Linked DNA regions of Mus musculus: regions 1, 3, 4 and 5 are each reported to be linked to region 2. The links are microRNA targets in miRTarBase. Many come from high-throughput screens and were not tested one by one. Region 2 holds a microRNA gene; each other region holds the end of a gene's coding sequence.
What was found. The annotated mature microRNA mmu-miR-5098 reads GUUACAUGGUGAAGCCCAGUU and lies in region 2 at 1,326-1,346, opposite strand. An mRNA with a match to its seed (bases 2 to 7 or 8) in the 3' UTR can be bound and repressed. Matches are read on the target gene's strand: a 7mer-m8 pairs with bases 2 to 8, a 7mer-A1 pairs with bases 2 to 7 and ends in A, and an 8mer does both.

Region 1 (4,119 bases), not on the chromosome of region 2:
CCCCACGTGCTTGTCTGTTGCTGTCTAGAAGGAAGACCTGGAATCCCAAGAACAGCTCCCCTCTCCTTCACCCCCCGCTTCCCAGGTTGATGCTGCTATTGGGCTGCTAATGCCCCCTCTGCAGACCCCTGATAACCTGTCGGTTTTCTGTGACCACAATTACACTGTGGAGGATACGATGCACCAGAGGAAGAGGATCCTGCAGCTGGAGCAGCAGGTGGAGAAACTCAGGAAGAAGCTCAAGACGGCCCAGCAGCGGTGCCGGCGGCAGGAGAGGCAGCTCGAGAAGCTCAAGGAAGTCGTCCACTTTCAGAGAGAGAAGGACGACGCGTCCGAGAGGGGCTACGTGATCCTACCAAATGACTACTTTGAAATTGTTGAAGTTCCAGCATGAAAAAATGAGATGTGTTAGTGGGACAAGACTATACACCTTCTTTTAGCCTACATACAGGAGTTCATTTGAAAAAATAACACTTAATTACTTGTATTAAAAAAACAATATTTTTTTAAAATAAATTAGATATATACTGTAAAATTGTAATTTTTTTGTTTGTAATTTCAGAGTTTCTACATTTTAACAAATATTTAAAAAATCCTTAAACCACCAATATAATGTTGTATATTGGTTTCAAGATGGTGGATTGTTTTTCATTTGAGTATTTATAGAAATAATGTAAAAATAAAAAGTAGAGAGGGTGATGGTATGATAAAATGATTTAAGTTTAAAAATTAATGCCCTTTATTGAGATAACTTATAATTTAAATCAGATGTTTAAGTGAGAGCATAGGACAGAGCCTTTCAGAATATAGAGGTATACATACACACATTTTGTATTTATAGCCAGAGCTTCATTTATTTTTCTCAATCACTTATCAAAAATGAACTGTCAAGCCAGTATTTGAGGCAAACAATATTTTGCTGTCTTCAGAAAAATCATTCCATAGTTAATAGTTTCATAAAGAGTAGTTTTAAGAGTAGATCCTTTTTGTCCCTAGCGTTATGAAATTAGAAGTGTGTCTTGGGGAGTGGCAGGCCTCCAATCAGGTATTGGCATCAGTGAAGAGAAAATTGGGGGCGGGGCTGGAGAGATGTTTCAGTGGTTGAAGGTTCGTGCAAGCCTCGCTGCCTGGGTTTAACCCCTGGGGCCCATGTAAAGGTGGAAGGAGAGAACCACTCCACAGAGTCACCTTCAGGTCCCCATGTGTGCTGTGACAACCTTCTAAAGAAAGAAAAGTTGGGACCTGGCTCCTAATATGCTCTGATCATCCCCTGGCAAAGGCACCCGATTCCACAGCTGTAGTTAAATCTGCATTCAGACCTCTGACAGATTATTTTAGTAGAGTTTGGTTTGTACTATAATACCGTACTTTGCCCTTTGTACTTAAGTCTTTGATAAATTTTCCCTTAACTGTATGATTTTGGACAAGACATTTCATAGAAAATATTTTTTTCAACTCTTAAGTTAGAAGTTATATCCAATTTACTCCAAGTGACTTACGTTCAAAAGTAATGTGTCGTGTTTGTGTCGCCGTTGAGACTTAAATATTGCAGTTTCTGTTCACACTGTGGATTGTGTTCTGTGAGAAAGGTTACGTATGCTTCAAGTGAAAATATGTTCTGAGTGGACAAGTGCTGATAAAAGAATTCTCTAGGTGTAGGAGAACCGTATTTTATATCTCAGAGGACACTGTAGCTGAAGAATAGCGGACCTTTCAAGACAGTATTAAAGACATGTTATTCCAGTATCTTGTGGCCCTGCTTTTTTCTTTCTGATTTACTACCATGCTGAGAATAGGTAGCACTTTTTTTTTTTTTTTTTACTACATGTAAATAGCTTATAATTGCGTAACGCTGGCTGGGAGGAGGAGCTAGGTACTCAGATGAGAGTCCAATAACCCCGCCCACCCACTCTTTCTAAAAAGGCTGATCAACAGTCTAATCCAGCTATGATGATCTTTTATAAACAAGCACAGCTAATCTTACGAAGATGTGTTGTAGACATTTTTAACCCCAGTCTGGAGTTCCTACCCGCCTTTGACCATTCAGTTCCTGGATAGAAGACACACAACTTATTATTTCCAATAAGCCTTAAGCAGCTCAAGAGCTGGGCAGACACCTACCCTCTCTGCTATTAGAATATACGTTTCTATCGATAGCCCCGAGTTATTACTTAAACAGTGTTTCATCAGGGCTGCTCTTAACTCCAATTGGTCAGCCCTCAGCCCGTTTCCATGGCTCACCTAAACCATGCTGGCTTCTTTCTCCTCACCTTCTGTTCCTCCGGTGGTTCCCCTCCAACCCCAAGCCCAGGAATCCTAAACCCTAGCAATTTCCCTTCTGCCCAGCTGCCAGCTGTCTGCATCGATATTTCCCAGTCAGAAATAACTTGGGGGCAAGGTCACATGCCACGGTTACTAGGGACTCTAGGTTTTTCGGGTTGCACTTAGCCTTACAATACACAGAGCAAGACCAAACCTCAACAAAGATGGCTGTTGTTTGGCTCAGAGGACATGACTGTGCTTAACAAAAAGTTGACTACGTGACTTTAATGAAAGGAAGCAGAATCCTAACAACATACACAGGATAACTGAGTGAAGTTATATTACCTGTGTGCACAGTGATAAACTATGCAGCTTCATATGTTCTCGGGTAAACCTTACAGAAAACACAGGATACTCTGTGTAGTACGTGGAGTCCTTTACCATAACTGTGCTTTTGGTTTGAAATGAGTATTTGTAGCAAATTTATAGATAAAGCAGACACAGAGCAAAACGTCATCACATTGATGTTTATGACATGCAGCAGAACTCAACAAGAAAGCCCTGTGGAAACTAATGCTGGAGTTACCATTGGGAGACTTTAAAAGAGAGGATTCTCTCTGTTATCTCCATAAGAGAGCATCCCAGGAGGTATTTTTACTATGGACATCTTTGTACCATGGTATAAATAATGGTACACACAAAAGGTAATGCTCCTTTAAAAACAGTGAGCTCATGGGACACTGGACAAGAGCCCTGTTGTTCAGTCCAGTGACAACTAACTGGACCCAAGCCCTGTCTTCCTTGTCCCCTGTATAGAGTGGTTCCGATAATTATTATCACCTGTTGGGTCGTGCCTTGGAAACAGACTTTAACAAGAGACAGAACACACGTGTGTGTACTAGAGTCTTATACATGATAACAACACTTGGTTTTAAATTTAAAAAAAAGATTTCTTTTACAGTGTATTCTATATTTATGTCTCAACTGATGAGAAAAACAACTTTTAGCACAAGAATGCCAATTTATTCCCCTTCCCCACTTTTTGGACACATGAACACAAAATATCCCTGCAGGCCAAAAAAACAAAACAAAACAAAACAAAAACCAAAAAAACAAAAACAAAAACAAAAAACAAACCAATAACAACAACAAAACCTCTCCAAAATTTAAACAACCGTTATCTTATTTCACGGAAAGTACCTCGTATTGCTGGAGACAAACATCCAGTCCAAAGTAATAAAATACATTTGAAAACACTACAACTCTAACCATACAGAAACCATACCGTTAGTCAGAGGAACAAACACAAACATTTTCAGCCAGTAGACCCAGAGAGAATATGAATATGTCAGTAGGAAGGGATAAGAAAACGGTTGAGCAATAAAAATCTTTCCTTTAATTCTTGGAGTTGAAGCAGTGTTAGTATGATGCCCTTAGCCTCTGCCTTCTTAAAATGAAACCACAGCAGCTACTGAGCAAGAGAATCTCAGAGCACATCCGTGAAGGGTAGCCGTGGCGTAGAGAGGGCGAGCATGGTTATAACTGCTTTGCCTTTTGCCACGCACGGGAAGGAAGAGGTAGCTGAGCCAGGTGGGTAGGCTTTGACCTAGGATATGGGCCCAGATCCTAAGGTAGAGACCATTTAGATGTCTGCTTGTAATTCCTCATCTTTGGAAGCAGCACATAGAACTTACAGTAAGAACGAAGGTTGTTTGCCTGCCCAGAATGCTGACTGCATCAGCTCAGGATTCAACAACTAACAACAACAACAACGAAACTTAATTGGTTCAACATTTGAGTTTTTTCCCATTCTTAACGTCCTATGCTCCCTAGCCCCAAACTATCATGCTTTAGAGT
Region 2 (4,119 bases):
TCAAACATGGAAGGAACTGACAGACGCTAATGCCCAAAGCGCAGAAAACAACCAGAACATTCAAACTCATGACAGAGAGATGCAATGCCACATTCCTACACTCGGAAACGAAGAAAAGAGTCTGGAGATGCAGCTCAGCTGCAGGGAGTATGCTCAGATATGGTAAGCCTTAGGTTATCTCTAGCTCTGTTTAGAGAGAGGGAGATGGGTGTGGCGGCCTCACCTTTAATTCTAGCTCTCAGGAGCTAGAGGTAGATGGGGATCTCTGAGAGTACCTCTGATATGCAGAGAAACCCTCCCTGTATGGCCCCCCAACAACAAAGGGTAGCTAAAGGCTATATACTGGATAACAGCCCCCCCCATATAAAACAATCACTAAAATGGATGTGATCACGTGTGCTTATACTCTCAGCACCAGGAGCCCAAGTAGGAAAACCTGGAATTCAAGTTCCACTTGAGGTATATAGCAAGATCCTACTTAAAAGGGGGAGAGAGATGACTCAGCAGTTAAAAACACATGCTCTTCCAAAGTGCCCAAGTTTGTTAGGTTCCCAATACCCATGTCACTGGCACCTGTAACCTCAGTTCTGAGGGGATCCTAAAGCCCCCACAGACATCCATACACGTGTAAAACCCTCACCAAGAACAAAAATAAAAATAAATCTTCTAGAGGAAGTGGGGGCGGGGGTGAGACAGAGGTCTTCCATTAAGAGAGCAGGCAATGCTTCAAAGACCAAATTCAGTTCCCAGCCCCCACAGCAGGTGGCTCACAACTGCCACGGGTAACTGCAGCCCAGGCGGGTAACTGCAGCCCAGGCGGGTAACTGCAGCCCAGGCGTCCCTGGGCGCCACATAGCTCTGGCCCCAGGGCACCTGCACAGAACAGCACTCAAAGGAAAAAAAAAAAGCCTTAGAATTGAAAAGGGCTGGGAATAGTGCCACTGGGAAGGCAGAGGCAGGGGGATCTCTGCAGTTTAGGGCCAGCCTGTTTATACAGCAAGTTCCAGGACAGCTGGGGATACAAAGAGAAACCCTGTGTCAAACAAGCAAAAATTAAACAAATAATGATTAGGTGGAGAGCCTGATACTTCTTCCTTCCTAGGAAACAAACAGACACTAGTCTTACCACTCCCACACTCTTCATTAAAATCGTTGTTTGGTTGTTTTTCAAAACTGGGCCTCTGCCGGACAGTGGTGGCACAGGCCTGTAATCCCAGCACTCGGGAGGCAGAGGCAGGCGGATTTCTGAGCCTGGTCTACAGCGTGAGTTCCAGGACAGCCAGGGCTACACAGAGAAACCCTGTCTCAAAAACAAAACAAAACAAAACTGGGCTTCACCATGTAACTCTGGCTAATCCTATAGATCAGGCCTGCAGAGGCCTCTGAAATGCTAGGATAAAAGTGGGGGGCCACTATACCAAATTAAAATAAAATCTAAAAAAAAAAGTAAAATATCCCCCCATTAGAACTATTCTTCAATCAACAAATGAAAATACTTTAGCTCATTAGTAAGGTTTTTTTTTCCCCTTCCTGGACCTGAAACAGGGCTTCATTGTGAAGCCCAGGCTGACCTTGAACTAATGATCCCCCAGTCTCAGCTTCTGAGGAACTGACCGAATGTAGCTTTGCAAACCTCCTACAGGCCTCAGCAACCTACCAGCTCTGAAGGTATAAATACAGACTTGGCTATTAAGTAGAATTACTAAAGCACGGAAGCACTGTAGTGACCACATATTGTCTGGCATGGTCTGTATTAGTAGGAACCAGAGGAATGTCACAGTGAGCCATGGTTTTCTCAGTGAAGCAATTATTCCCTCAATGTTTATTTACTCTCTACCATTGGGGGGTGGGGGGGGAGGGTCTCACTATGTCACCTGGCTAATTTGCAGCTACATGTATGGATATGCATATGCAGGCAGGCAGACAGACAGACTCTCAAAGTTGCAGCTCTAAACCTGCCTCTTGCCTCCAAATGCTGTTTAATTCTAGCCACCACAAAGATTTTAAACTTTTTTTTTCCAAAGTTTTTTAGACAAGGTCTTACTACATACATGTAGGGCTAGCTGGCCTGACAAAAGTCAAGGCCAGGCTGGCTCCAGCTTGGGGGGGGGGGGGGGGGGCACGCACACCTTTGAGCCCAGCACCCGAGGCAGAGGCAGGTGGATCTCTGAGTTCCAGGCCAGCCTGGTCTACAGAGGGAGCTCCAGGACAGCCAGGGTTACACAGAGAAACCCTGTCTCGGAAAACCTATTAAAAAAAAAAAAAAAAAAACTGGCTTCTAACCTTCAAACCTAGCTGTCTGCTTCTGCTGAGATTGAGGCCAGGCTGCTGCACCATGTCTGTCTTTGTTTTTTCCTGGGTTTCTATGTTATGTGTCTATGTGTGGGTGCACAGGCACCTGCTGAGATCTAAGCCCTGGGTGCTGGGGACAGAACTCAGGTCCTCTGCACAAGCAGCGCACTATTAGACTCTAAAGTTTAAGAGACGTCCTTAAAGCAGCCTGGAGAACATGGTATCTGGATAGAGATTGTTTATTTGTTTGTTTTCGAGACAGGGTTTCTCTGTGTAGTCCTAGATGTCCTGGAACTCACTCTGTAAACCAGGCTGACCTCCAACTCAGAAATCCACCTGCCTCTGCTTCCAAGTGCTGGGATTAAAGGTGTGCGCCACCACGGCCTGGCTGGTATCTGGATAAAATAGCATAGATGATACAATCTGTTCACCACTGGGTAAGATTCAAGCAGCAATCACTTTATAAACAGGGGATCCAAAACAACTGGCAATAAAATGTTTCTAAAGAACTAAAATTAATTCAAAATCTAAGCCAGGTGTAGTGGCACAAGCCTTTGATCCCAGCACTGGGAGATGGAGACAGGTGGATTTCTGTGAATCCAGGACAGCCTGACTACATCATAATAATAAAATAAAATCTGAGCTGTTTCTGGCAGCCCTACCTGTAGCCCTGGTTCTCCATGCACAGAACACTGGGGTCTGTGCATGCAGCAGCTAGGAGCCCTGGCTCACACTGCAGACCACTGCTGTTAGCAACTGCAATTTTCACTGCACACATGAAGTTTCTGGTCTTATGGAAACATAACGGTCCCCACTTCAGAATCTAAAGCCTTCTATCCTTCCCTACTGTGTGCAGACCGGATTAGAATGTTTGCCCTTTAGAACAGCAGACCTGAATTTTTCTTGTTTTGTGCCTGTCACCCCCAACCCTATCCTCCAGTCCACCCTACCCCAGAGAGGGTTCTATTTGTCCAGCCCTGGCTGTCCTGGAAGTCACTGGGATTCAAGCTATGCATCACCATGCACAGCCACAAACTTGAGTTTAAAAAACAAAACAAAGCATTTAACAAAGTTTCACTTTGAGACCAGAGCAGAATTTCCAACCATTTCTGAAATTGCCCTAAGCACTCTTCCACCCTTTTGTACATATATACATATGCAAAGTGCCATTCTAGGGTTGACAGTTACAATCCATTCTGATTGTATCTGACAGAATGAATCAACTCCGATAAATGTTGAAGTTACTCTATGCCCAGTACTATCAAACATTCAACCAAACACTAAAAGTTCAATAAAGCTAAGTACACCCATCTCAGTATCTGCATCTGCTTGTCTTAGACATCAGAAGGCTGAGGCAGGAGAGGGAGTGCTAGGCTGGCCAGGGTTTTGTGGCTCACACCTATCTTCCTAGACTTGTTAATAATAGCCTCAAGAAGCAAGAATTCAGCAGGGCCAGGCTACTACTGAAACAAACCCTTGTCTCACAAAACAAGGACTGGTGTGGTGACACAGACCTGTAATCTATGCACTCAGGGTCCAAAAGCAAAGTTTGGGGACAGAATGATACACTGGGGGAGTTCAGGCCAGCCAAGGTCATACATGAATCTCCAGGATAAGCTTTTCTTAGCGGACTCTGCTCAGGACCTCTGGAAGAACAGCCAGTGCTCTTAACCACTGAGCCATCTCTCTAACCCCCTGAAACTTTTCTTTTTGGTCTAAGCCTGGGGAGATGGACCATGAAAGCCCCTCAGACTTATACTTCTGGGCCAGAAAGTCCTCAAAACCTGTAGGTATTAGGATATGCTCAACAAATGCTTGTCTGAAATG
Region 3 (4,119 bases), not on the chromosome of region 2:
TATTGTGTAAAGGTGCCTCCCTCAGGATGATCACACGATTGATAAATGATAGGTATCTGGAGGAGCAGGCTTCTCACCCTCCCCTTGTGATTAATCACACAGCAATGCATACAATAAGCTTTAACATTTATTACCATCGAGGTTCCACTATTCTCAACCTTCACTAGTCCCTGAGTCACACACGATTTTTATCCTCACTTTATTTTACATTTTTACCGTGTGTGCGTGTGCCACACACACACACACACACACACACGCCAAGTGCCATGGTGTTTATATGGAGGTGAGAAGTCTCTTCTTATACATGTCCTAGGACTCGAACCCAGGTCATCAGACCTGGCAGTATGTACCCTCTACCCACTGAGCTATCTCAATGGCCCATCTTATCCCCACTTTTCAGAACAGGAAACTGAGACACAGTGAGATTTTTTTGTTTGTTTTTGTTGGTTTTTTGTTTTTGTTTTTTTGAGACAGGGTTTCCCTGTATAGTCCTGGCTGTCCCGGAACTCACTTTGTAGACCAGGCTGGCCTCGAACTCAGAAATCTGCCTGTCTCTGCCTCCCCACAGTGAGATTTTTTAAAACAGTTGTTTCCTATACAGAAATCTCAGGGTACCTTTAGATTTAATTACGTTTATTTGTGGAGGAGGCATGTGCCACAGTACTAACATGGAGGTCAGAGGACAACTTGCAGGAGTCAGTTCCACCCTATGGGACCCAGAGATCAAACTCATATTTTAGTGACAAGGCCCTTCCCCAACAGGCCATCTCACTGGTCCTTTGAAATTTAAAACAAGGTTCTCTGGTTGCAGAGAGGGCTGGACCTACAGGGCTGTTCTGGAGACTGAGTAGGGCACACCAGCAGTTTGGCAGACAGAACACTGAGTGCCTCAGGGGCAGTTTCTCAGGAAGATTCAACTCAACAAGCAAGCAATAGACTTGCAAACAGGACAAGAGACTTCAGCTCTGCAGGCAACAGGTAAGAGACCTCCCAAGAACGGCAGGCTCTAGACTAAAACCTGGGGGCCAGCCTGTTTCCAAACCACCACGGGGCCTTGTGGCACAAAGGCAGGTGCCCGTGAGAGCAGCTGGTTGAAGAGCCCCGTCCCACAAGCACAGCCTTCTGGACCCTGCCTGGCCATCCTGTGCCCCACCAGCCTGTGTGCTCCTCTTGGCTTTCCAGTCAGTGGCAACTACAGGGTACAGCCCCAATCCTACTGTTAGTATTCCTGGCTTCTCTCTTCGGTGCATCAGCAGTTCCCGCAGGCCCACCTTCAGAGTGTGTCCAGGAGGTGACAGTTGTCACATTCCCACAGCCAACAAGTACAAAGTATCCTTCTAGGGAGTATCAACCAGTCACATTCAGATTCGGATACCGATGCATGCTCTCTTGAGTTCTTACTCAGTGGAAGGCAGTCCCCATGGTGGCTCCCAACCTGCTCTTCTGCTATCTGACACTAAGCGCTCCAGCCACACCACTTCCTAACCACATGCTGGCCAGTGTTCCAGGCCAGCCTTCCTGGGGGGCTGCCCCTCCACTTAGACCCTCTCTAGCCCACTGCTGCCTCTAGGGCATGTCTCTTCTCTTCACCCACCTATTCTGCTTGCCTCGGGGCCTCTCCTCCATCAGCTGGAAGTTTGTCATCCACTGTGGGACAGCCATTGACCAATGAGAAAGCCCAGCTCCCCTGCTCTAGTCTGCTTTTGGGGCTCTTCCAGAGATATTCCTCCTCCACCTTTCCCTAAGGTCAGCTGGATCTGAGGGATGCAGGCTCTGGGACCTGTCTTAGCTACTTAGGCTGAGCCCCTGCCTCACCTTATTCGTCTCTGCAAGCATGACCTATTCCAAGAGACACGGCACTGATACTCCAGGCCTTCCTTCTGCCTAGAAACTGCCCAGAAACAGGAGAAACACCCTGGGTTTTCCATCTTCCTTGCCGCAGGCCTCATGTTCCCTTCTCCCCCAAGGCCTCTGCAGTCAGGAACTTGACATGCATCCCAGAGCTTTTTTGTTATTTTTTTGTAGACAGGGTTTCTCTGTGTAGCCCTGGCTGACCTGGAATTCACTCTGTAGACCAGGCCTGGCCTCAATCTCTGACATTCACTTGCCTCTGCCTCCCGAGTGCTGGGATTAACCACCCACCAGGCAGGTTTTTAATATTCTGGATTGTTTGTTTTTATCTATCTTTCTTTCTTTCTCTCTCTCTCTCTTCTCTCTGTTTGTGTGTAAAACCTCATACCATGACAAGAGTATGTGTGGAGGTCAGAGGACAACTTTCTCAAGTCGGTCCAAAACTAAACACAGATTGTCACGCTAAGTAGTAGACTGACTCCTTTCACCTGCTGCTGAGCCTCGTCTCTGGGCCCCGGCTCATGTTTTATACTGTGCTGCATACAACCTAAACAAACCTAAGGGTTTTGTGAGAGGTTGCCTCACAACTACCTCCCTCTAGTGGCACACGCTGCTCCTCACTCTGCTCACACTGGGCTCAGGATGCTGATTGTATGGGATGCTGATTGTATGGGATGGTGTTCCACAGTGACCCTGTCCAGAGGCGGGGGTGGGGGGTGGGGTTCACTTTTCACAGATGCTGTCACTCAGCCTCCCTGCCTGTCCACAGGTGTGCAGACAGTCCTTTCAGGACAGTCACCTCAGCCTGTGGTTCCCCATAAGTCTTCAAGTATCTGTCCCCAGAGATCTGGCAGTAAGAATAGGGGCCCTGGAACCTCAGGAGGCAGTCGACTGTGGTAAGAACGCAGGAGATAGAGGGAGTCACCCATGCCCTGCCTCATGGGTCAGTATCAGAGGCAGTGATAGTCACTTAGATTCAGAGGACAGATGTCTGTCCACATGCCACACTGACCGTTTGGCCACAGTCAGGCTCCCCCCACAGGCCCACAGGTAGCCCTTCCTTCCATCAGGCTCTTGACTCAAAGGCAAAAATCATACCAAGACAGCAGGGTGGGTCTGTGCTTGGAGCTCAATCGTGGCTCAGACACAGAGCAGCCACAGAACCCCTGAATTTTTAATGCCAGCACTCTGAGAGGGGCCTCTGAAGAACTACTGCATCCAGGCCTGGGGTTCTCAGACACCAAGTCATGAGGCCGTGACAGGCACAGGAACTTTGCCCCTTTGCAGAGCAGGCTGAGCGGGACCACAAGCTCACAGAGCTTCTAGGAAGGGCTGATCACCATGGGGCAGCCCGAGCGGCAGTGATCACTAACCCATGAGGCCTGGCTGGCCCTGAGCACTCTGGGCAGTTCAGTAGGAGTGTGTTATAGTTATGGGGTAGGAGGGGAAAAAACCAACCACAGCTCTAGCCCAGGGGTTAACAGGTGTCTTGAAGGGAGGGGTAGCCTGGAGAATTAGGACTGGGCTCTTCTCCACTGAGAAGCTAGAGGCTCTTGACCTCCAAGGGCACATGACTCAGGCCACCTCTGTGATAGGGAATGGCGGATGCCCCACTGTAGGTCCAGGTAAAGAAGGTTTGAACAAGAATCCTGCTGGGGACCAGGACGACCAGGGACAGCTTCAGTACCCCCGGGGGACAGCTTGGCCCTTGTTCTCCAGGCTTGCAAAGGGGTCTGCAGCAGCGTCTGATGATGAGTCAATTGTCTGGTAGGCACTGTGCTCCTGAGAGGGTCCGAAGAAATCTAGAGGACAGGGACATGTGCATAGAGAAAATGAGACCCTGGGGTTTTTGCTAAGCACAGATGGATCCACCGTCTGCCATGGCTAGAGTTCAACACCATGATGCTAAGGACAATGTGCAGTAGCAGAAGCCCAGACACCAAGCCTTTGGCAGGCAGCATCCACTCAATCCTAGCATCTGATGGGTGGATCTGCAGATGAGAGACATCTGAGGGTCAGAGAGACAGGCTGATTTGATATCATTTGGCTTGAGGCATAGGACACTGGGTTCCAGCCTAGACATCAGGTCCTATGGTCAGTGGCTCCTGGCTGCTGTGCCAAATCTGCCCCAGAAGCACTGATGAGGGATCTGAAGAGGGGTGGCTAGTCCTCAGCCCACGCACTTTTCTCCTGCTCTCCTCAGTCACCATTTCTAGAAGCCGCAGAGCCTGGCATAGCTGTCATAGCCAGAAGGCTGGGCTGAGGGTA
Region 4 (4,119 bases), not on the chromosome of region 2:
TTACTTTGTCAACTTGCATTACAAATCTATGTCTGTTGGACCCTATCTCCACCTTTGGGGAGGTCTGTAGTCCCTCTTCTAGGCTCTAGATAGACCAGATCTTACCAAAGAGATGGGTCCCCATGCATTCACCTGCACCTACATAAATTGCCATCCTAAGTGTGACATTGTCGTGATGCCTCCTATTGGAGAATATGCAAAGCCTCTTTCATGAACAATAGCACAGTATTTCCACCTGACACAAGAATATGCCAGGCTTCTGAACTGTGTCAGGAAGTTTACCTGCTAGTTTTTAGCTTCTCCAATGTCGGCTCCTGACTGTACAGTACCATGTTGCATCTTCTGCTTAGATGCTGCTGTTCAGGCCAGAGGTAGGCCTAACCTTTGTACCAAATGTCAGTTTTCAATTACAAAAGAAAGTTGTGTGCGTAGTTAGCCATCCTTGGGTGCTCTAACCTGTGCTATTGCTCAATCTTCTGGATTTAGCCTATAAATGAATTACAATGTCTCTTCGGGCCTTGCCAGAAGATTAGAACCAGAGTCTCTATTTTCTGTAGGAAAAAAAATGAAATAAGTCCACTTAACTTACTTGCTTGTAAATAAGGCATAGTATTTTGCTATGATTTTAAGTGTTCATGTACATGTGTGTGCATACCTATGTGCATGCAGGCATGTGTGTGTGTGCGCGCGCAGTTGTGTATGCACATGTTCACACTGTGTAGAAGCCAGAAAACAATCTTGGAGATCATCATCAGGAGCACCACCTACATATTTTGAAACAGAGTCTCCCATTAATCTGGCTTATCAACTTAGATCAGACAGGCTGGCCATTTAGCCTCCGTGATCCTGTTGTTCCTACCTCGACAGTGTTGAGACTACAAACATGGAGCACCATGCCTGGCAATTGTGTGGGTTCTGGGTCCTGAACTCAGGTTCTCAGGCTTGCAAGACAAGTGCTTTACCAACTAAGCCATCTCCCTAACCATTGCCTACTTTTGATATTCAGATTTATGTAGAGCAGGGCTCTCTGTCTTTTTAACTTGCACTTTAATGCTCCTGGATAAGCTTGATGCATGATCCCTGGAAATCCCAGTGCAATGACACAGCATTGCCAATATCACCTAGAGTGACCAGCATGGAAGGTTGGTATTATCCACTTATAAAAAAATTAAAATAACAGCACCAACATTCCCAAATCAAAATCATCCTCAACAGATATCATTTTATTAAATTACATCTAACAACTTCATATATCATGACAATTCACCAGGTACCTAGGAATATATTTTCTAAGATTATATCAAAGTATCTGCCAAAAAGGCAAATTGCTTCAATTTAAGCACTATAGAAATATTTATTAAGATTTTTTAATCCACACTGAATGTAAATACTGCCTGTTAAAATTTCCCTGGATAAAATCATCGGGGCCAGAGGCTCTCTGCTAGACTGTGTGTAGCAAGGTAGCCATAATTGAATTCTGAAGAACATATTAGCTCATCCCACATCCCTAAGGAGTTGGGACGGCCTTCTATAATTAAGACATATCTCCTGGTTAGATTCGTTAACTAGAAAAGAGCATCAACCCTCTCTCCCACTTAGCTGAGTGTCAGGGTGTATGGATCTGCCCTAATTGGACAATGGAGAATTATCTGCACTCACATTTTTGCCTAAGAATGTATTTCCCTAACTCTTGTGCTTCTAAATGGTTATCAAAGGTCAATTAGGGAAATCGATATTCATAAATAATTTCTTTAAAGACACTCTGTTCATCCTCCTAATGGTCTGAACTGAATTTTTAGCAAATCAGAAACACACATGCTTTCAACCTAGACAAAACTCCAACAGCACTATTTTCATGGTGTATAATATTTAGGCATGTAGTACAAAGCCAACTAGTAATAACAGAGGGTGGCTCTTATACAAGCTTACTGTTTGTGTAATCAGAGCTGGCTCTTACAATGACCTTTAAATTAATTAAATCATTTCTCTTGACTTATAGGTAAGAAAACTGAGTTCAAAGAAGTCACATAATTGTATGATATAAAACCAGGACATGGACCTGATTCTAGAACCTCTAAATTTAACCATTCTATCCTATGCCTTCCCTAAAACAATGATTGAATAAGTCCCTTCTCCAACCTGAATAAGGCCTTATGAAATGAATTCATTGTTGACCCAGTCTGGAAAGACCATGATAAAGGATGCCTCCAGGAAAAGTCAGCAGTGTTGAGGGGTCTGTTTCTATAAAGCAGCCAAACAGACTGAAGCAAATGTACTCCATCACTGGACTTGACTACAGATTCATGAATCTCAGAAGTCTTTAGATGTTTGTTCTCAAACTGGAAATCTAAAAGGGAGAGTATCAGAACCCCACACCTGAACCCCATGAATGACCAGCTATCTCCAAAGTAGAGCTATTCACCTCAGAGAGACTCATCACAAAAGACTCCAGCAGCAGGAGGTAGTATGGCTTGGATATGATTCTGCATGACAGTGACAGTCAACCTGAATTTAGAGTCTTGATTTCAGAGGGTCAATAATGAAGTTATTCATAAAACTGCTCAAATTCATTCAAGCCAAAGGTGACTTTATTGACTCATGGACTGGGGAAGTTCAGGTACAGATTTTATTCCAGAAAAGAACTGATTCTGAGCACAGTGTAGTCAGTGCTCCATCACTCTAGGTTGCCCAAACAAGACCTGCATAATGACACCAATTGACATGCAACATGGACAGAAGAAATTTCACAAAGACAGAACCCTATATGAAGAGCTAGAGGTAATCAGTGGCTGCTGAGAAAAGGACAATCAGTCTTCAGGGAGGGGCCCTCCTGATAGATTATCCAGTGTCCAGTCTTCAACAAAATACAAGAAGCACTAAATGTAATCAGTAAGATGGATGACTGATGAATAGATGATAGATAGGTAGATAGATAGATAGATAGATAGATAGATAGATAGATAGATAGATAGATAGATTGATTGATTGATTGATTGATTGATAGATGATAGGTATTATGCATATGTATATATGCATAAGGCTAATAATAAGACATCATGAATTTGAGAGAGAATTTGGAAGGATAGGAAAGGATCTGAAGAGGGAGGGATAGAAAGTATGTAAATACAGCACTCAAGATGACATTATAAAACAAAAACAATAAAAAATTATTCTCCTTTCTGTGCATCTATTTTTTCATCTATGTGAGGGAGAAGAATTATGTCTGAAATTTTTTCAATTATATATATATATATGGATATTTACATATATATATATAAAACCATGGGTAAGTCAGATTCTCTTTGGTAGAGTCCTAGTGGGATGCTTATGCTGGAAGCCTTCCATTTAAATTCCGTGCTCTAGTGCTGAGGACCACAAAGCAGAGAAGTGAAAGGCCATATTCACAGAACAGACCTACAACATCTGCTGGGGCTAAAAGGTTCATAACCCGAGACAAGGGAGAGAATGTAATCCCAGGAGGTGCTTCAGGGCTCACAACAGTAGGTCAGGACCACAGCTGCGGCTTAATAAACACATCACCCTGTGCTTTATAGTTCAGTGCCCGCCAGTTCAAAACATTGGGGCTGAGTGTCCCACCAACATAGACTGTGCTGATCTGTTCTGGAGATAGCACAAAGTCCCACATGTTCACATCTCCGATGTCTCCCACCAAAGACTGCTTTGCATCAAAGTCACCGCCATACGAGTCCTGCTCCTGCCCCAAGATGATGCTTGCATCTGGCCCCACAGTGTAGCCCTTGTGCAGACTTTTCCGCACCTTGGGTTTCCCATCAATCCAGAACTCTACAATCCCCGTAGCAGACTCCCAGCTGGCACAGATGTGTGTTGGAGCCTCAGGAATCTCTGAAACCATGAATCGTACTTCAGCACCACCCACTCCAAAAGTATACTGTTTATCCTTATTCCAAAATATGAGAATGTCGTTAGAGTTCTTCTTGGTAGCATAAGAGAAGACACTGAAGCTGCGCACTGTGCTCAGAGCAGTGTAGAAATGGAGACACACAGTAAAGGTGTTCAGTGGCTTCTTTGACTCTGCTTCCAGAGACACATAGGAAGTATCTGACTCCTTGGGAAATACAAAGGCCTTTTTAAACATGT
Region 5 (4,118 bases), not on the chromosome of region 2:
CTAAGACAGCCACACTTACTAATCCTTCTGAAGTAGGTCCACCAACTGGTGACCAAGCCTTCAAATACACGAGCCTTTGGAGGCCATTCTCATTCAAGCCACCAGACTCCACTTCTTGGTCTCCATAAACTTGTAACTATGCCATAATGCAAAAGATGCCAAGCCCAACTTTAAAAGTTCCCATAGCCTTTTACTCTCAACATAGTTTTGAAGTCCAGAGTCCCTTCTGAGACTCAGGGCAATGTCTTAATTGTAACCCCTGGCAAAATCAAAAAGCAAATTGTTCTCTTCCAACCTACAATGGCACAGAATATACATTACCATTCCAGGAGGGAGGAATGAGGACATGGTAATGAAATACTGGGCAAAAGCAAGACCAAAACCTAGCAGGGTAAACGCCACATCCTGACATCTCTGATGTTAAAAGGGTTTAGATGACTCCACCTTCCCACCTCGGATACCAACAACGTACTTCTCTCTCCTAGGCTGGTTCCACTCCTGTCCACTGCTCTCTCTAGCAGGCATCCCACAGCCCTGCCACTTCCAACAGCTCGGAGGATCTCCCACACAATTCAGGTTTCACTTTCACCGTTTCCTGAAATGGCCAAGACTCTAAACCTAGAACACAGTCCAAACTGCTAAGTTTTGCTGTCTGTGTGGCCTGGAGCCTAGCCCCACCCTTGATTACATTTGCATAAACTTTCTTTTTGCTCTTTATGAGCCGGTAGTCCCTACAGCCTTTTCTTTTTATTGCAGGACTCTCATCCCAAGGACATTCACTTTTTTTTCTTATCTCTTCATGCCCAAATCCTGGCTTGAACACCAAGTTCCCTAGTACTCTTTTTTTTCTCCCCAAGCTGTACATTTTGTTCTTTCCCATTTGCTCCTTTTGCTTTATAGATCGGCATAAGAGTCATAACTAATAACCAAGTGACAAATTCAGTATTTGGCTGTCTTGAAATATCATCTGACAATGAAATTAGATAAAAAATTCAATTCAGTCTCAAACAGATTAATAGGACAAGGGCAGAAAGCAGCTACATTCTTCCTTAAAATGCCTCAAGAATGGCTTCTAGCCCAGTTGCTAATATTGTTAACTTCTGAAACCTCTTGAGCTGGACCTCTATAGGTGACACTTTCCAGCACTGCTGTCTTCCAAGAACCTACTAGAATGACCCATTAAGACCCACGTTTACCTTTCAACTGTCTTCCTAGTCCAAAGTCCTAAAGCCTTCCATATTCTTCAACGAAACAAACAAAATCAACAACAAATGAAACATGGTCAGCTGTATCACAGCACTGCCCCACTCTTGGTACTACCTTCAAATATAGAACCCTTTAGGGGTCATTGCTTTTCAAACCACCACATCTGACAGAGAAAAACAACCCCAGCCAGTTCCCTGGTAGCAGGGCCATTGCTGGGCACAGCCTGTTGTATTTCATTCATTCCATATAGAGTAACCCAAAGTACTAGGTGAGATGCTCTGATAGACCTACTCTATGTGCCATAGACCAGGGAGCAGCTGGCTTTTATATTAGAGGACAATGAGGTACTCCAACAATGTGCAGGTTCCAGTGTCATGTTCAAAAGAAAGTCCAATTCTCCAAACTCCAGAAGGCAGTATGATATTCAGAAATGAATTCAACCTGGGCTATAGGCAGATTCTGGCTGTTAGATAAAAAAAAACAAAAAAACAAAAAAAAAAACAAAAAAAAAAAACCAAAACAAAACCGAATTCCTCGGGAATGGAGCAATCTTAGGCAATAGAAAAAGTAAAAGATCCTTAATGGAAAATCAAAGCAGGGTGGTCACCATTTAAACAACCTAACTAGTCTACCATGTTCTGAGGAAGCCCATGACCTATGCGGAAAGACTTCCTTTAGTTTTGATGAAAGAAACCACATACACTGATGTCTGGCAGAAGCCAGTTAGGAATGGTAGCTTGTGCACCAGGTGTTTAACTCATCTCCCAAATACTTATGGTGGTTCCCCTTTACCCAGGGATGCAGGAGGCCCATTGGCAGCTGACTCATGACCAGAGCTCCTCTCCTACCCAACTTCCCACCCCAGTTTTGTCCAAGTGGTAGCATTAGTTGAGCTATGTGACTTTGGGCAGATCAACTTCTCCAGGCTACTATTATTTTGTCTGTAAAGGTAGATATGTGGATATGATTTAGTGGTGAAATACTTGCCTACTAGGGGCAAATCCCTTTTTATCCACGGCTCTCCAACAAATAATAATAATAAATAAATAAATAAAACAAAGAAGTGGAATTTGTCTTATGATTTTATAAATGGTTGTGATAACAGGAAAGGGGTAGGAAGGGGAGAAATGAAGAAGGTGGGAAGGAGGGAGGGAGGAGAAAGGGAGGGAGTGGGGAGAGAGAGAGAGAAAGGTATGTGTCTAATGCTAGCTGGGCTCAGACTTGCCATTGTTTAGTTCACGTTGCTTCTACTCACTAGGAAATTTGGTTAAAAATCCCACCAAAAGCAGGGCAGTGGTGGTGTGACTCTGTTTTTGAAAGAGAACCTGAGATCTCTTTCACATTAGAACCATTTCACCCCTCTTTCTCCTTTTTTCCTTTGAGGAACATTTTTTTTTGTTGATAATTTTAATGCTTTTTGTACTGAAAATAGATATTTTATTTTGTCTACACAAAGCACTTTCAAATATAAATCATATACAATATGTAGATATAATAGAAAAGAAAGTATAAATATAAATGTATATGTAAATATACACTTTTACATACACACACACACACACATACATATATAGTCACTGAGTTTGGTTTTGTCATGAATCCTATACGAAAGGGTTCATTGGCTCAGTATCTCTTCTTCTGTTCTCTGCTCTCCTCCAATAGGTGCAAAGCAGCAAAGGGCCAAGTCTTCAGGAGCTCAAATGTTGCTGTCTTCTTTACAGACATCTCCTGTGCCAGAGGAGCCTTGGAAGACAATGGGAGCCTTGTCAATCTCTGTAAACTGCAAGTCAGAGTAGGGAATAGAAAAAGAGTCTAGCAGATCAGCTGCTTTGAGTTAATCTCTGAGTGGAACTCGAGGCTTTTAATGGAGACTCCCAGGAGAGCTCAGGCTGCTTGTACTCTGGGAAGTTGGCCTCTGTGATGAACCAGGAAGAAAGGTGGTGTCCTTCCGGACTCCGGGGATCCAGGCCTGAATATGGGAGGCACCCAGGCTCAGTAAAACAGATCATACCAGAGACCTCTATTATCACATTGGGCTTTCTCCTGTGTCCAGGCGCAGCTGGACTAACTGCCCTTGTATCTTCTCTTCAGGATCAGCTGGGCAGGTCTCCCTGAGTTTCTGAAATCGTGTGGTTAGGCTCCTGTGTCTTCATCCTCCTTGCTGCTGGCCCTCACAGTCATTGGTACTGTTTCCATGGTTTCCACCTCAACACGGCACGGCTGAGAAGGCTGCCTATAAAGCAGTTCATTCACAGGTTTTAAAAAGAGGACAGGACCACCCTTCAGTCAACATATCTCTTACTGAACATGTATGCCCGGTACTGAGTGGGTTACATTAGCAAATGTCACCCTCCACCCCCACTCTCAGAGGTCTGTGCTGTTTAGAGATTAGGAAAACCTAGGCTTCCCGAATGTGCACATAGCAAGAGTTTGAATCCTATTTAGAGATCTTCAACCTTGCCATCCATCCACCAGGGCTTTAGCAAGGTTGCTGGAACAGACCATGCCACCCCACCCTCCCTCCAACTCCGCTGATCATCCTCTAGAAACCAGCATGGGTAGCAAGGGATGGAGAGAGGAGACGGGGACCATGGTGGACCAGGCTTGATGGTATGGATGAAGGTTGCTAGATACTCACAAGGCTTTTTAAAAAAACATTCTTGTATTTAGCATTAAATACAGTGAAAAGCTCCCGGATAGCAAGAGCAGGGGGAGGCTCTGTATTCTGTGTCTGTGTGTCTGGCTGTGTCTGTGTGTCTGGCTGTGTCTGTGTGTCTACCTGTCTGGGAGTTCCCTTGGTTTTTAGGCCCTAAGTATCTTGGTCAGTGATATCTACCATGGCTCATATAATGTTTTCTTATGGATAAATAAATTTTCAAGCCATGATTAAGTAAAGAGTTTTGTGTGAGACA

Region 1: the mRNA of Thap1 is a reported target of mmu-miR-5098. Seed matches in the 3' UTR shown: 7mer-A1 at 672-678 and 8mer at 1,149-1,156.
Region 3: miRTarBase lists Agtrap as a target of mmu-miR-5098. Seed matches in the 3' UTR shown: 7mer-A1 at 204-210.
Region 4: the mRNA of Crp is a reported target of mmu-miR-5098. Seed matches in the 3' UTR shown: 7mer-A1 at 3,260-3,266.
Region 5: the mRNA of Il15ra is a reported target of mmu-miR-5098. Seed matches in the 3' UTR shown: 7mer-A1 at 2,746-2,752.

What each region holds. Positions count from the first base shown.
Region 1 is chr8:26,162,406-26,166,524 of GRCm38, forward strand. Thap1 (THAP domain containing, apoptosis associated protein 1) reads left to right here. Exons shown (of 3, transcript NM_199042.2): 3 at 29-1,746. The coding sequence ends at 394. Among named protein-coding and RNA genes, the nearest start is that of Thap1, 6.3 kb to the left of the region's middle.
Region 2 is chr5:77,269,994-77,274,112 of GRCm38, reverse strand. It overlaps Mir5098 (microRNA 5098), which reads right to left and starts at 1,356; the gene lies at 1,275-1,356. All of the region lies in intron 2 of Rest (RE1-silencing transcription factor), which reads right to left.
Region 3 is chr4:148,076,952-148,081,070 of GRCm38, forward strand. Agtrap (angiotensin II, type I receptor-associated protein) reads right to left here. Exons shown (of 5, transcript NM_009642.5): 5 at 110-3,653. The coding sequence ends at 3,532. Among named protein-coding and RNA genes, the nearest start is that of Gm13201, 2.5 kb to the left of the region's middle.
Region 4 is chr1:172,698,414-172,702,532 of GRCm38, reverse strand. Crp (C-reactive protein, pentraxin-related) reads right to left here. Exons shown (of 2, transcript NM_007768.4): 2 at 2,567-4,119. The coding sequence ends at 3,506. Among named protein-coding and RNA genes, the nearest start is that of Crp, 2.4 kb to the right of the region's middle.
Region 5 is chr2:11,732,471-11,736,588 of GRCm38, reverse strand. Il15ra (interleukin 15 receptor, alpha chain) reads right to left here. Exons shown (of 7, transcript NM_008358.2): 7 at 2,604-3,439. The coding sequence ends at 3,340. Among named protein-coding and RNA genes, the nearest start is that of Gm46731, 11 kb to the left of the region's middle.